2 linked regions of the Lonchura striata genome follow. The protein of the gene in region 2 interacts with the protein of the main gene of each other region in a pairwise test. Links are inferred from orthologs where the notes say so. Each region holds a gene or a part of one and is shown on either strand. Other genes may lie near its edges.

Region 1 (7,328 bases), on a different chromosome or scaffold from region 2:
ACAGGACAATTCTAATAAGCTTATGTTGGTCTGAAGTCTGCTGCTCTTGATGACCTGTTCTTCTGATGCTAATTAAGTCATCGATTTTTGTGCACTGTTTTTCTCTCTACAGCAAGCATGAGAATCTATCAGACAAACACTTCCACTTTGTAGAAAAGAACTGGTGAGAAAGCAGTGTAGTTATTGGTTTGACATACTGGTCACTAACATGTTGAGCAGAGCTGCAAGTTAACAGACTTGCATATTTCACTGTGAGACAAGAATACAAAACAAGGTTTGGTGAAATGGGAGGGAATCATACTTCCCAGTCATAAGCTCTCTAAGTCCACTCAAATTCTACCAGAAAAAGCAGCAGACTGGTACAGAATTTGCAGTTCAATATTCCAACAATATGTGAACACACCTTATTTGATTTCTGGACAGGCAATTCATTCTGAAAATAAACATTCACGTGAGGTGAGTGGTACCTCAAATTACAGTTCTGTAACTACAGAGAGTAAGAGCTCTGGGGACATTATTTCTAAAATAAACAGAAAATCATTCTCCACCATTCAGGTACACACATGCTAACACGAGTATCTGCATGATGGGGATGGCATTCCCTGTCAACTGGACAGTGCTTCCAACATTTATTTTTTTACAGGAAACGGAGTGCAGCTCTTTCAGTTGAGTGTAAGGAACCTTCCTTGCTTTCCTGTAGCATTATGCATTTGATTTTATTAGTTGTGTTTCTCTAGATGGTTTCCTCAAAGGCTACCATGGGATGTTTGAAAATGAATAGCTCTGTTAAGATCTGAACAGCAAAATCTTCCCATCAGAAGCTTGGGTATAACAAGTTCAGTAAAATATCCTGCAAACATAATGAAGGAACATGACTTCACAGCTGTGATATTCTTGCTGACCTTGTGCAGCACATAACTTCAGCCTCCTCTGCATCTACTCTGGCCTTCGGCTCAAGTCTCTATGCAAATGCTGAGATAAAATTAACATTCTATAAAGCCATGCCTCACCCTGCTCCGGCCATCTGCTGCCATCATTACTTGTTGCTTCGTAAAATTGAATAAAATGACATTCAATGGCATTCACTCTCCATAGAGTATTACAAAATGCCTATGACCACTACCAACAGCACGTGGGGACACTGATATTGTACAGACATCTTAAATTTAGTGAAAGCAGCCTTGTTCTTCCTAATGCCAGGCTGAAAAGCAGAGCTCTGCTCCTGCCTATGGCCCTTTGCTCAGTACAGCTGCAGGTGGAGACATGCTGGCACTTCCACAGCACAACATCCCCACATGGCAACACCTTTTTGTTCCAACCAGCAGAACTGTTTTTGGCTCAAATCCAGGTGGAAATTGTGACTATACCCAAAAAATCTTCCCCCGGGCATAAAGTTCACGCCAAAATAATGTATTCATATCACAGGTAAATCACTTTTGTTAATAATAAACTGACAGTATTTGTATTACAGGGTGGGGCAAGGAATGTGGCCATATAATAGACACACTACTGTAATGCCTGGTATTAGGATACCACACGGATCAGAGTAGGAGCTTTTACCTCATTAACCAAATAATTATTTAGTGAGCTCCTCCTCATCCGAGTTTATTCACATGCATCACAAAAAGCTGCATACTGGCACAGGCCTGCTCGGGAAAAAATAAAACGACTCAACATCAAAATAGCGGAGATCAGAACATGCGGTACTGACATAATGAGGTTGAGAAAACTGCACCAGGCCCATCTGTGCAAGGAGTCTATCACTTTATTGGTACCAATTTAATAAACAAAATATGATACAAGGGATATTTCTGCAGTCCTTTAATATGAAGGGAGAAAAAGGCACTTGTGTTCTTGTTTTCTTTTCTAGACCAGATTTTATCTCATTATTGCTTTAAAATTAAAATAAGCTCATCTTTTTTCATATTAAAAGTGTTACAATTTCTGACTGAGGTGTCCTGAGTTAGTGAACATGTGAATACACAAATATTCCTACAGCCACTGAAGATACTAAACATTACAAACACCGCCAAAGCCTCTGATGTTCTTCCATGGGAATTTAGCTTTTATGGTGCTGTATGATGTGTCTTTTGTTCTCCTATCAGTGGAAAATGTGTTTTAACTATTAATAAGGAATCTATCTGAAAGCAACCAATTTATATTGTGTTCTTTGCATGAGATGCATTGATGCCAATACAGTGATTGCATGTCACTGTTATTTTAACATCCCAATTAATACCTGGTTATACATACCTCAAACAAAACCCAAACCCGTTAGATCTGGGCTACTGCCCAGCCTTTCTGTACGCTGGGACTGAACCAACCTTCTTTCCCTGTGGAGTCCTCCCTAAACGCATCTCTATTCCCAAATGGACACGAATGATCAAAACTGGAAAATAATAAACGGGTTTTATTCCCTTCTAAAGCGCTCCTACACGGCCACGACCACCTACGCGGGCCGGCTCAGAGCCGCGGGCACGGGCACGGCAGCTGCGCTCTCCGGCTGGGCACGGAGCTGCCGGCGCTGGGCGGCCGGAGGCCGGCCCGGCGGTGCGGGCTGGCCCCGGGCAGCGCCGCTGGCTCGGGCAGCGCCGCTCCCGGCGGGGCTCGCCGCGGGCCCGTCCCGCCGGGCGGGCCCAGGTGAGCGCGGCCGCGCCCCGGGCCGCCAGTGACTCACCGGGGCGGGGCGGCGCGGCCGCCCGGGGAGGGGCGGCGCCGCCCGCCCGCGCCCGCCGGGCGAGGGTCACGCCGTTACCCGGGCCGGGGGACGCAGGAGCGGGGAGGCAGAACCGGGGACCCTCCCGCGGAGACCCCCGCACGGCGCGCCCGCCGCGGCCTGCGGCTGCCCGCGCGGGGCGGAGCGGAGCGGAGCGGAGCGGGGGCAGGCCGGGGCGGGCTGCCCCGGGGTCGCGGTGCCGATCCCCCCACGCCGATGCCCGCCCCGGCCGCGGCCCTCACCTGGCGGCGCGCGCGGATCCCACGGGCGGAGGGAGGCGACGGCAGCGGCGGCCGCTCCACGGACACGCGCACACACCCTGCGGCGCTCGGCCCGCTTCCGCCGCGCGGCACGCCCCTTCCGGCGCCAGGGGGCGCCACCGCCCGCGCGCCGCCCCGGCGGGACGGTCGCCATGGCGACGGGGCCCGGCCCGGCCCGGCCCCGGGGCTGCGCCGGGCTGAGCGGGGCCGAGCGGGGCCCGGCGCTGCCGTGCGAGCGCGCCCCGAGCGGGGAGAGCCCCCGAGACACGGCCCGTGCTGCGCTCACACCCCGCAGCCGCCGCGCTGCGCGCTCTTTGTCTCCGCGGAGCTCCCCGGTGGGGGTCCAGGGGAGGGGTGCTGCGGCCTGCAAGTGCAGCAGCTTCTCCGGCAACAAAAGGAACGGTTTCTGGTTTTCTTGTCGTTTCGCACTGCTGTTCTTTGGCTGGACCTCACAGTAGAAGTGATAGAATCACAGAATTGATTAGGTTGGATAAAGCCGTCTAAAATCACCGATCTATGACTGAACGCTTCCACCCCGCTTAGAGCATGGCGCTGCACCCGGTCTTACACACCACCGGGGACAGTGACTCTGCCGCCTCCCTGAGCAGACCGTTCCGAAGGGATATATATCGGACATCTCGGAAAACAGGCAGTGTGGTTATTCTCTGCACCCTCAGAAATAAAACCTGACAAATGCTTTGAATTGCAAAATCACCTTTAAATGCTGTTTTAGTAGCAGCTCTTCCCTACAACTTCAGTTTTCACTGAAAAATCAAGATCCATACTGGCTAGATAAGATTCATGCAACTTACAAACTGCATTTTTCTAAGGAAATGGCAAAAGAGAACATTTTTGGGGCATGAGGAGAAGTCTAGCTTGGTGTCCAAAAAGGAATCCAAGTAAAAGAGTTCAGTTTTGTAATCCGTATAATCCTTTTGGATAAGAAGTGACAGGACACACAACTCAATTGCACTGCACCCAGATCTCAAATTTATGGCAGCAACACTTGTCAAAGTGTTATTATTTGGACTCGGTTCAATTACAGCATTCTGGAGTCCAATTTTCTCTTCTACTTTCAGATACAGTCCTGGGCCCATCAAAGTCACTGTCAGATTCCTTTTTGGTGATGGAAGGACTTCATTAATTTCCTGCTTAATCTCAGTCCAAAGGTTAATTACTTTGGAAACTCAGAAGGAAAATTACTTGGCACCCACGAGTTATCTTAAGCTGCAAACACTGATTCAGCTCCATTAGTTGCTGTCATCACTCTCTTTTTTCTTTTTGAGGCAAAACTTGTTTTTTACCCCTGATCCTCTCCATAGTCCTTATCTTCTCAGTTTCCATTTGGGCCATTCCCAGTGTTCTTGCTGAGGCCTTGAAGGTGCTGATTCATGGCAGAATTACTTGGTTTTGACATTCCTTGCCTCCATATCTGTGTATCATACTCAGTTTGCAGAGGTGTGCTGTCAACACCTGTTCATTTGGACTTCCACTGTGCCTTCTTCACCCTTCTCCTCTTCCTACCTGTGTTGTCACAGCTCATGCCTCTTCCAGTGAGGTGCACTGAGCTCCTTTCATACAGCTCCTCCAATTTGTCCACACAAAATTCTCATCATCACCGCTGAAATGCAGCACTCAATCCTTCTCAACTGCTATTTTTGGACCATGCAATCTCCACCACACCATCCAGGTAGGGCAATTCTATACTGTGTAGTCAGAGAGGTGAAGCATCACCCTCTGCTGTCACAGAGCTCCTGCAGCTGTGTCCCTGCTGGGCCAGAGGCCACCGAGACAGAAATGTGTTAATGATACAGATATTCCTCCTTGAGCTTTTCCTACCCTGGGGGCTTCCCAGTCCTGTGCCTGGTCTGGTGCTAGAGATAAGCAGGGCACCCTGCAGTTCCTCCAGGGATGGTGAAGGCTGGAACCAACACCAAACCTCAACTCTGGAAAAGCTTGCACCAGCAGCAAGTGGTTCAATGTGTCACCCTTCAGAGGAGGAAGTGCACATTGGCTCAAAGAATCTGAGATACCCAATCTGTGCAAGAACAGCCATTATCTCAGGGACAGGCTGGATCCATGAGGAAACAAGCACAACAGAGAGACCAGCTTGCCTGGCTCTCCAGCAGAAAATGTCCTGTTGTGTGTTTTTCCAAAGAGCCACATTTCAGGTAGGTAAGTGTGAGGTCTAAATGGAATTTGGCTTTAGCTGCTGGTCAGCGTTAACCTGTTACTGCCCTGGGGAGCACAGAGCAGCTGCCCTAAGAGTGCTCACACTGAGCTACAGCCTCACAGACCGTAAATCCAGAAGGGAGGAAATCACAGGATTTGGTGTGAAAGAGGATACAGCTCATGGCTGAGGTGGAGTCCCTTTGCTGAAGGAGTGGTTCTTTACAAGGACTGTGAGACCAAAGCCCTACCCTGGATACACCACAGGCTTCATCCTTCAAAGGAGGCTCTGCAGGGCTGCAAGGACAGTTTGTTCCTGTCTTGTGCAACTGATTCACTATAGAGAGCGAGTTTCCATCTCCAAACCACTTCTCTTGCACTAAGTTAGTACTTAACATCAATAGCAGGTAAAAGAAGTGTAATAAGCTTTTTGACAAAGATGTCAGTTGCCAAACAGGGAGGGCTGGCTCTATTCCTGTGCGAGCAGCAATGTCAGAAGCTGTTCCCAGCAGATGGCACAAGAGCTCGAGCTGCTCCAGTCTCTGTACCTGCCCTCAGGTGTGCGGCTTCTGGTACAGGAAAAACGAACCTGAGATTTGTACTAGAACAAGTGGACAAACCTTTGTTCAGAAATGCCATCCTGACGAGTCGCTCAATTTTTGTGATTTTTTTTTTGTTTGTTTGTTTTTGGTCATTTGTGTTGAAAGTAGTAGGTCTCAGCTGCTGTGGGTACCAGAAGCAAACAGTTGATGGCACTGCATGATCGCTGTCCCTGCAGCTGATGTCTCCCTGCAGCCTGACCGAGTGAAAAACGAGGGTGTTTCATTTCCATGCTGTAGGAAAGACACTCACAAAATGTAATCGCCACCTATTAAGTATATTTTATTTCTTGATTGCTTTGGTACTCATTTTCCCAATCTTCCGCTCTGTGTATGAGAGTGTACAGCCTGGATACTTCAATTGTTCTAGAGCTGGATCTCACAGATCACTAAATAGTGGATTAGGTGATGGATCCTGCATGGAACTGGTGCAGCGGTTTATGGCAGCTGACAGAACTGACCTGCTGGAGCTGACAGCTGGGATGTCCACCAGAAGTCTCATCAGTAAATTAAGAATTTCATCATTTGTCAATGCTGGTTGTGGTGTACTTTGAATTGCACATGATGGTCCTAAGAAGGAGATTTGTAAGGAAGAAACAAGGAACATGAAAGAGCAAAACAGTACTTTTAAATTAGTATTTCTGCAATAGGAAATTTTTAAAAGCTCCAAGGTAAAAACTTCTGCAAAACATCTTGTACTTTCTCTGTGCATAAGCTGCTTGTGACATTATAGACTACTGTGATGAAGTTAAAACTAGAATTAGGTTAGTTAGAACTAAAATTACAACTAAACTGGGCTCAGGCATAAACATCTTGCATAGGATAGAACTATTAATAAGTTTAATTAAAGCAACATTTAAAGCAAAGAGCATCAGGTTTTCCTCATGGTCCCTGCCAACTAAATGCTAGACTAAGTAATACTTTGTTGGGCAACTTTCAGTCCTTCCTTCTGTCCAAGGAATGCAAGTAGTTTAGTTCAACTTCTCTATGAAATGCGATTTGGGCAAAAGTCAAATTGGTGTTTTAATTTTAAGGTGTTTAAAGGTCTGAAGGTGACTTTGGAGAACACAGTTAAGAGCATAATTGCAAAGCAACTTATAAGAAGTAACTGTGGGAGCATGAAAATATAAATGACCTAAATAGTATAAAATAGTATGATGGGAAATGTGGTTGGAACAAACGTCTTGGATGGGATAGGAATTCAGCTCCAGGAATGCAATTTTGGCAGTAGTGCCCCAAACAGAGAATGCTATTTCTGGGGAAATGCACTGAACTCTGGGTCATGAATTAAACTCAGGTAATTTATGTTCTGCTCATAAAAAGTGGCAGTGCAAAAAAAACAAGCAGAAATGGAATGGAATATATTGCTGTAAATTTTTGTAGCTGTTGGGACCTGGAGAGTCGTTGTGTACTTCTGGTGCCAGGTAATGCCTAAGAAAAATTCAAGCCAAGGAACACATAGCAAACCCTTCAAAGCTGCCAACTCAGTGACCCTAAGGAAATCCAGTTTCAAAGCAACATATGAAGAGAGGTTTGAAGAGGTGACTTCCCAAAATCTGAACTTTATTTATTAGCTGTTTCTGA
Region 2 (7,725 bases):
AGTTCTAAAGCTGAGCCAGTGATAAGAAAAAAGGGCCAAACCAAATGGCTTGACATTGATCTTGACAAAAATAACAGAAACTAAAAACTATTATTTTAATAACAAACAGAAATATGAGTGGATCAGATCAAGAAATAAACTCAGTCCAAACACAGGGGACACCCAGAAACAAGGTGCATTAATGCAGGCAATGATGGATTGTCAAATTAACCAGAACTGATGTACTACATACCCTAGACATGGTAAAAAACCATCAAGGAACCGCTTCTGACAAGCAGGCCCATAGGTAATACCCATGCAGTTTGTGTGATCTTCAGTAAAACAAAACATTAATGCTAGGCCGCCATATAGCACTGACCAAACCAATCTACAGCTTCAGTCAAACATAAAAGACACGGAAAAATTGAAAAGTATAGAAAAAAAACCATATTGCTTGGGCTTTTACAGTACCTTTTCTGTAAAGGTAATGGTTGGAATCAAATGTAAAAAACTTGAAAACAATTACAGTAAGTGACTACTACAATAAATTGACAAGAGAAAATGTAAGAAATCCATTTTTGGATTCACAAATCAAACTCTAAATTTTTACATCATACTAGTAAACTAAGTTAGTGGGAGCTTTGTGATCCAAAACAAAACATCCAATTTCTAACAAAATGTCAGTCTGAAAAAGCTGAAAAAATATAAGGAAGAAAATTAGTTGCCTAAGCAGAAGTGCATAGAAGCAATATGATAGGAGAACTCAATTTTACATAGATGGGAAAAAAACCCCAACAAGAGATAAGAAAGAGGGGACCAGAGACTAACATCTGACTGCATGGTATAACACATGATTATTGCTGATTAGCATCTCTTGAAACAGAAAAAGATCTTATCTTCTTGGTAAAAGCTTGGATTTAATAAATATTTTAATAAAAAAAGACAGGATAATGGTATTATCAAAAGTTCTGGAGTCATTGTCTTACAATAAAGTGAAGAAAGATATAAATACCTGCTGGGTAAACAATTAATTCTTCTCTACCCCAATCTCTCTGATCTTAAAACATTTCATAACAGGAGACAGTCCTCAGTAGGATGATAGGAACTTACTACACAGAACTACAAGATGTGTATGTGTTATTTACACAGAACTACAACAAAGATGAACACTTCTCCCCAAACACAATTTTCCTTTTCAGTCTACTACAAACAAGAAAAAACAAATGCAGATAGTATTGTGAATTACATTCAATATGTCACCTGCTATTTCACTAAAAGTCTGAGAGGCCTCAGCAAAGGCTGCCACAATAGCTTTTCACTGGCTTTTATGAGGCTCAGTGCTGTCACAGAATTTGTCCAGTTCCTGGGGGCATACAATCCCATCAGCTTTTTAAAACAGCCTATTTTTAAACACAAAGCAAAGTCAAGGAGGACAACTCCAACACTAATTTTTTAATGTTTACAGCAGAACATACCTAAATTTAGACCATCAAACCAAGCACAATATCACAAGCATCACAAATAATTCTAAGGATTTTCTCCTGCAATACCATGACCTCTCTCACCAGTAACAAGACAGAAATTTGAATAGCACACAGAAAAGACTGGAAATAGATGTTCATCCATGTCACACAAAGTACTAGCAAAAAGAAATGCACACAGCAGAGAAATTAGTCCCTGCAGACCAATAAGGCACCTAAGAACAACGAGCTCATGAAGAAGATGAGTTTTCTCACCTATTAAACATCAGAAGTGTGGAAATGCATTGTGATTGTTTGAGACAACATTCTCCAGAGAGAAACAACACCAACCGTGATAATTTAGTTGGCAACTGTATCAGAAAGTGCAGTGGGAACGGGTGGCCAGGAGCCCAGAGCCACTGCTCCACTTCCCCTGCCAGCACCACAAATTGCCAAGTTAGAAATTACCTGCTCCTCAATCCTTCTGCTTCCACCTTCTCCTCAACAGCAGGAGAAAAAGTACCTGTGTGACTCATGTCTTTATCCCTAAAAACCTTCCTGCCCCCACACCCGCTCAGCAAAGGCTGGTGTTAGGGGGTGCAAACGCAAGGGGCAGCACCGCGGTACTGAACAGCTCCTTGCCCTGGGGCACCCAGCAATGCCCCCCATGGAAACCTGGATATCTCATGGATCTAACACGTTTATCCCTTACACTTAAGAATTAGGAATGTTTAAACCATCTTCTCTTAGGTCCCTATGCAGCACACAAGACGTTAACTTTGTCACAGACATTCACAACATCTCCTTCTGAAAGCATCAGAGCTCAGACTAAAACTCTTCAAATTTGCAGTTTACAAACATCAAAACATTTCTTAACTTCAACATGAACTTTAGGTAAAGATATGAAAAGTGAATAAGAGAGTGGAAGAAATTTCTCTTGCTCAGCCTTGAACCCTCATTTCAGGAAAGCGGTACAATCGGCTGCAGATAGTTCAGAAAAAGGACACTCATGCAGAAAGCGTCAAGCACAGAAAAACAAGGTCTCACAAAAAGCGCTTCAGCAGTTATCACAAGAGAAAATGCTCAAAGTAGTGCTTTATTCAAGTTATGCTTAAGGGTTTTGGTCTTTTTTGCAGCAGTGTACTAAGTGAAAAAAAGGCTTTCCTTCCTAGAACCAGCCTGTGAAAGCCGCACAGCGTTGCTGTACCTCCCGGCCATTTCCCGCACGGGTGACTTTTCAAACGCACTTGGCCCAAAAGTTACTCCGCGTGTGAAGCGGGGCAGAGAGCCGCCAGCGGCAGCGCGGCACGGCCGCGGGAGCCGCCGCTGCCGGGGAACGGGGCCGGGCCGGGCCGGGCCGGGCGGGACGCGGGACACGCGTGTCGGGAGCCGCGGGTCCCGGCGCGGGGCACTCACGGTCTCTGCAGCGGCTCCTCGGGGAGGGCGGCGGGGCCCTGCTGCTGCTGGAAGGAGCGCAGCGACTCGAAGGCCTTCGTCAGCTTCTCCATGGTGGCCATGTCCGCTCCGCCCGCGCCGGCGGCACCGGCCCGCGCTCCGACCCGCCCTGTCACGGGCGCCTGGCGGGTCCGAGTGCTGTCCCGCTGCCGCTGCCCCGGGCTCGCTCCCGGCGCTGTGCCGGCGCTCTGGCGGGCCCGGGCCCGTCACAGCCGCGATGAATGGGGCGGGCGCCGCTCGGGGCCGCGGCCGCCTCCCGTCCGCCCCGCCGCCATCTTGGATCCGTCCCGCCGGCCCCCGCGCGCGGGCCCCGCCCCCGGGGCCGCCCCGCCCCCCCGGAGCGGGGCCGCGGGCCGGGGCTCGGCCGCGCGTGCGCACATGGCAACCCCGGCCTGGCGTCACGCGCCCCATTACGTCGGAGCACACGGGGACACGCGGGCCGCGGCGGGGCGGGGCAGCGGCCAGAGCGACAGGAGCTCTGGCCAATCAGAAGGGAGCTCCGCCCCTCGCCGCGTGCCGGAGCGGCCGAGCGCGGCTCTTGCGGCGCCCCCTGTCGGCAGCGGCGGTGGCGCCCGGGAGGCGGCGGGGCCGCGCTCGGCTCCGGGCGGGGCCGGGCGGGACCGGGCGGGACCGGGGGTGCCGCGGGCGGGGAGCGGCCCTGGCAGCGGCCCGGGGAGCCGCCGGCAGCCCCTGGCACTGCCCCGCGGGGAGCCGCGCTCCCAGCGGCACCGCAAAGCGAGAGCAGGCGCTGTGCGGCCGCACGTGGCGGGTGCGCAGCAGGTAACGCGCCAGCCCCCGCGGCACAAGTGGCGGCCAAAGGCGCTGCCGGCACTCCGGTTTTATTTTAGGCTGCAGAGACTCTTACAGGAACAGGACACTTAAAACTCGGCAGCGCACGTGCTGGCCTTTCAGCGCTGCGTTCCTGAGTGTGGATCTGCTTTATCAGAGCATACTTAGTGTGCGCACATACAGGATACAAGAGCGACAGTATTGAATATTCAAGTCATTGATTCCATTAGTAAACAGAAAAAATCGACAGTTCTGTTAAGTTTCCAATTGCAACCACTGATTTTAATATATCTACTTGTTAATACAGACATTAAATTACAGCTGATGAGAACTGGCAATTCAATTTATCTCACACACACAAAACCGGTTCCAGCAGTAAAAATGGAGAACAACTCAGGAATTCTAAGAAAATAAATTTCCAGTAACTCAGCTTGGTTATTGTTAGCAGACATGAAGAAATGAAGCAAAGCTCATGTCTCTGAAAATTCAGGGCAAAAGAAGTCATAGATAACATTCTTGCCAAATACTCACTAGAACAGCATTCTCTCTGCCAGTTAATTTTATTAGTATGTTAATAAAAGAAACTATTTGAAACAGTCCTCTGAAAGGAAACCTATCCTTAGCCCTGAAAGCAATTCAACTTGAACAAAACCTTATTTCATTATAGAAGTGCTACAAAATGTGAGCTTTTAAGGTAAGACCAGAATTTCTGATAATTCTATGATAAAGCTTGCAGAAACGTTTCTCTGGAACATGTGGATAATCATGAATTTTTTATTTAGCAAATGATACACGATAAGAGATGACAGCAGAGTTGGAATGCTGCACACTCTGTGCATGTGCCACTCCACACTTTGAAATAAATGTGAGTAAAAAGAGCATAAGGTCTTATCAAAGATTAACCAAGCCACCTTGCGAGGCTGTTTTGAAGCTTTCCATGCGATGTGCCAGTCCCTGCGGGCTGCTGACTCACGGGCAGGAGCGCCAAGGCCGTGCCTGCCCGCAAGCTCGGCGCTCTTTGTTCTCCCTGTCCCGAGCTCCAGCGCTGAGGCTCATTAGCTGTGAGCTAACTGGGAGGTAATTCCGGGTATCAGCATTTTCTATCAGTAGGTTCTGCCAGCCCAAACTGACTGATCCATGGTTTTGCAGGTATCACGTCACTGATCTGTCCCACAAACACACACTCTGACAAAAGTAAAGAGGTGTAAACGAGGTAAGGGGCAAGAAAAAGCAAGGCAGGATTAGAGAAGTGTTTTTGTAAAGTCAGCGTTACTTCAAAGAAAAATGAAGTTCCAATTAACAGTGCATACCTAAAAGAAGATCTGAAATTTAGGGGATGACAACTAATTAATCCCAGCCTCCAGAAGAAAAAGGAAAGAAAAGAAACATGCTTTAATGTTGTTTCTTAAGTTACCTCTTGATTTAATGCTTTTAAGATAAGCATGTCAAGAGTATTTTTTCACCCTAACCTGAAGTCCCACTTTGGCCAGCATTTCTGCATTTCCATGAACAATTCAGTAGGTAATTGGTACGTGACACTGCTGGCCCACATGGTTTGGCATATGCTCGGATCATCTGCAATATGTCACAGCACAGTTGAATGTTTTAAGGTCATTTAATTTGAAGCCCTTTTGGAGAGCATTTGGGGGCTCTGTCCTTCAACTCATGCTATAAAATTACAGTAAATGTACTAATGAAAAACAGCCCATCCCGATAATTCTGTCTTTTCACATGGAAATTTATGCCAAAGTCTAGATCCAGACCATGAGATAAGGTATCAGTTGAGCCAGTACAGCAGAACTGGGGCATTTTTTCCTGGATTCCACTGTCTTACACTGGTAAAAAGCTTACACTATGTAGGAGACATTTCCTGCTTCAAGAAACTGGAAATTTATTTTAATTACAATTTTCTTTTTTTTTATTTCTTTTTCAATCCCAGCTACCATGATAGACATGGTAAATAAATCACATTAGACAGTAATACATGTGGTTGAGATATGTGGCAGTGTTTTGCTTTTATTTTAGGAATTACAATGCTAGAATGTCCAGGAAAACAGCTCACACAAAAACAGTCAGTGGTTTGGAGATGCTGGAAGTAACACATCACATTTAACAGTCAGCTTCCTATGCCTGGAAAGAATTCTGGTGTTTTGGACACAATTGGATCATGGAAAAAAGTTACCTACATGTCATGTGCAAAACTTAAGTTACACCACAACAGCAATTATGAAATAAAAAAGAATATTTCATTAATTCATTCAGAAGAGACATAATCATCACCAAATAAGCGAAGTGAGTAATTAAAATCAAATCTTCAGCTTAAAGATGCTTTCCAATAATTAGAATTTCACTTCCTAAAGAGAAGTGTTTCTGAAAACCTATACTAACTAAACTGAAGATAAGTCCCATGTTAAATTCATATAATGCTAAACTGTAAACCATAGAAAATTATTACTTTTGTTGTCATATTTTAGTAACTTGTAAACAAGTATTCTCCATCTGTATAAATGGCAATGAAGAAATTCTTACATCAGTGTAGTTCGAAAAATAATTGAAGTGCATTCTAATAATGGATTGTTAGTTGGTTTCAATAGCTTCTATCATTGATTTATAAACCAGATGATTTTATTTTGATTTGGAGATAATTCTCTTTCATACTCAAAAACATTCAGGACTACTGTTTTATGAATGATTTGGGGGGAAAAAAAAAGAACGTGATATTAAAGGCTAAGGTTTGTCAGTAACACTCTTGTTGTTACACACATACTACAGGTTTTTTCCCTACTTACTATTGGTTTTAAGTGCTCATTTTTTCAGCTGAGACTGTTCTGTTGTTTTTATAATCCAGAAACAATACCATCTCTATTATGAACGCACCTCAGGGGACAGGGGGAAGCTGACAGCTTTCTTAATAGAAAAAAAATCCCTGAGGCATGAAGATTTTGTTCTTCTGGTCACAACATTGAAAAGCATTAAGTAAATCAATAAGACACTGGTACATTGTTTCACAGTTTCTGAATTTTGAGCTAAATAGAGAGGTTTGAGGTACTTGCAAGCAAACATGAAGATTTACATACACAAATACTTGGAAACACGCCACAGGAAAGGAGGGTTGATCTCATGCAAATAACTCCATGGAATTCCATAGGTCTTTCCAAATCTTGCACCAGAAGAACATCGGATTGTCTCAGTGCTGTTAAAGCCTTCTAACACATGGGTCTAGAGAATGAAGTCATGCTGAATTACAAGAAATTATGTTGGCTTCCCCCATCCCACCCCAACAGTTTCATGGAAGTAAAAGGCCACATGATCAGTAAACATAACCTGCTATTTTCCCCCTTCTTTGTCCCAGCTTTGTCCTAAAAAAATTCAAGAGTTAAGTTCATATTAAATTTCTTGCACCGTGATATTTTGCTTTCAGGCATTCTCCCCTCTCTTTAGCCTTTCCCTGCTTTCAAGATGCACTTCCAAGCTCCTTATATTCCAGTAAAGACTGGAGTATAAGTAAAGTCACCTTAGATTAAACAGCATAACATCTTCCCTCTGTGTATTGTGTAAGGAGACTTATGCTGATTGCTTATCCTTCCAGTTCCTTGTTTTTTCTAATTCTCCAGGGGATTCACATCAGATAAATGCAGTCATTATTATGTGCTCGTATTTCTAGCCAAAAGGGACAAATTTATAGGACAACAATGCCATCTTGAGCCTGTTGGGGAAGAACCAATCAACTAACCAAAAGAACCCAAACCCCAAACCCAATGAAATTAGGTCATAATCGAACAAACATGTATTCACTCAAAAACAATTCAATAGTACTATTCTGAACTTAAGGAAAAACTTGTGAAATTACACTTGTGAAATAAGTAAAACTTAATAAAAACAAATTCTCACTTTTTTACAAGGAGTTCCTTTTTCCAAAAAAGCGGACATGTAAATAACCACTTCTAAGGAACAATTTCCCTTTCATTTAGCCCTCTTTCTTCACAGATTCCTGGAAGATATATGTTAAGCCCAAACACTCCAAAATAGAGAAGTGATTTTT

Evidence for each region.
Region 1: the proteins of HTT (region 2) and YWHAB interact in binary tests that used the Homo sapiens proteins (3 or more experiments, as listed by UniProt). The link is inferred for Lonchura striata from reciprocal best matches to the Homo sapiens genes HTT and YWHAB.

What each region holds. Positions count from the first base shown.
Region 1 is NC_134619.1:9,246,025-9,253,352, reverse strand, and holds the start of YWHAB (14-3-3 protein beta/alpha), read right to left. Parts: upstream 3,074-7,328; 5' UTR 2,959-3,073; intron 1-2,958. UniProt on the Homo sapiens protein: Adapter protein implicated in the regulation of a large spectrum of both general and specialized signaling pathways. Binds to a large number of partners, usually by recognition of a phosphoserine or phosphothreonine motif.
Region 2 is NC_134606.1:9,474,135-9,481,859, reverse strand, and holds the start of HTT (huntingtin), read right to left. Parts: upstream 3,058-7,725; 5' UTR 2,957-3,057; coding exon 2,856-2,956; intron 1-2,855.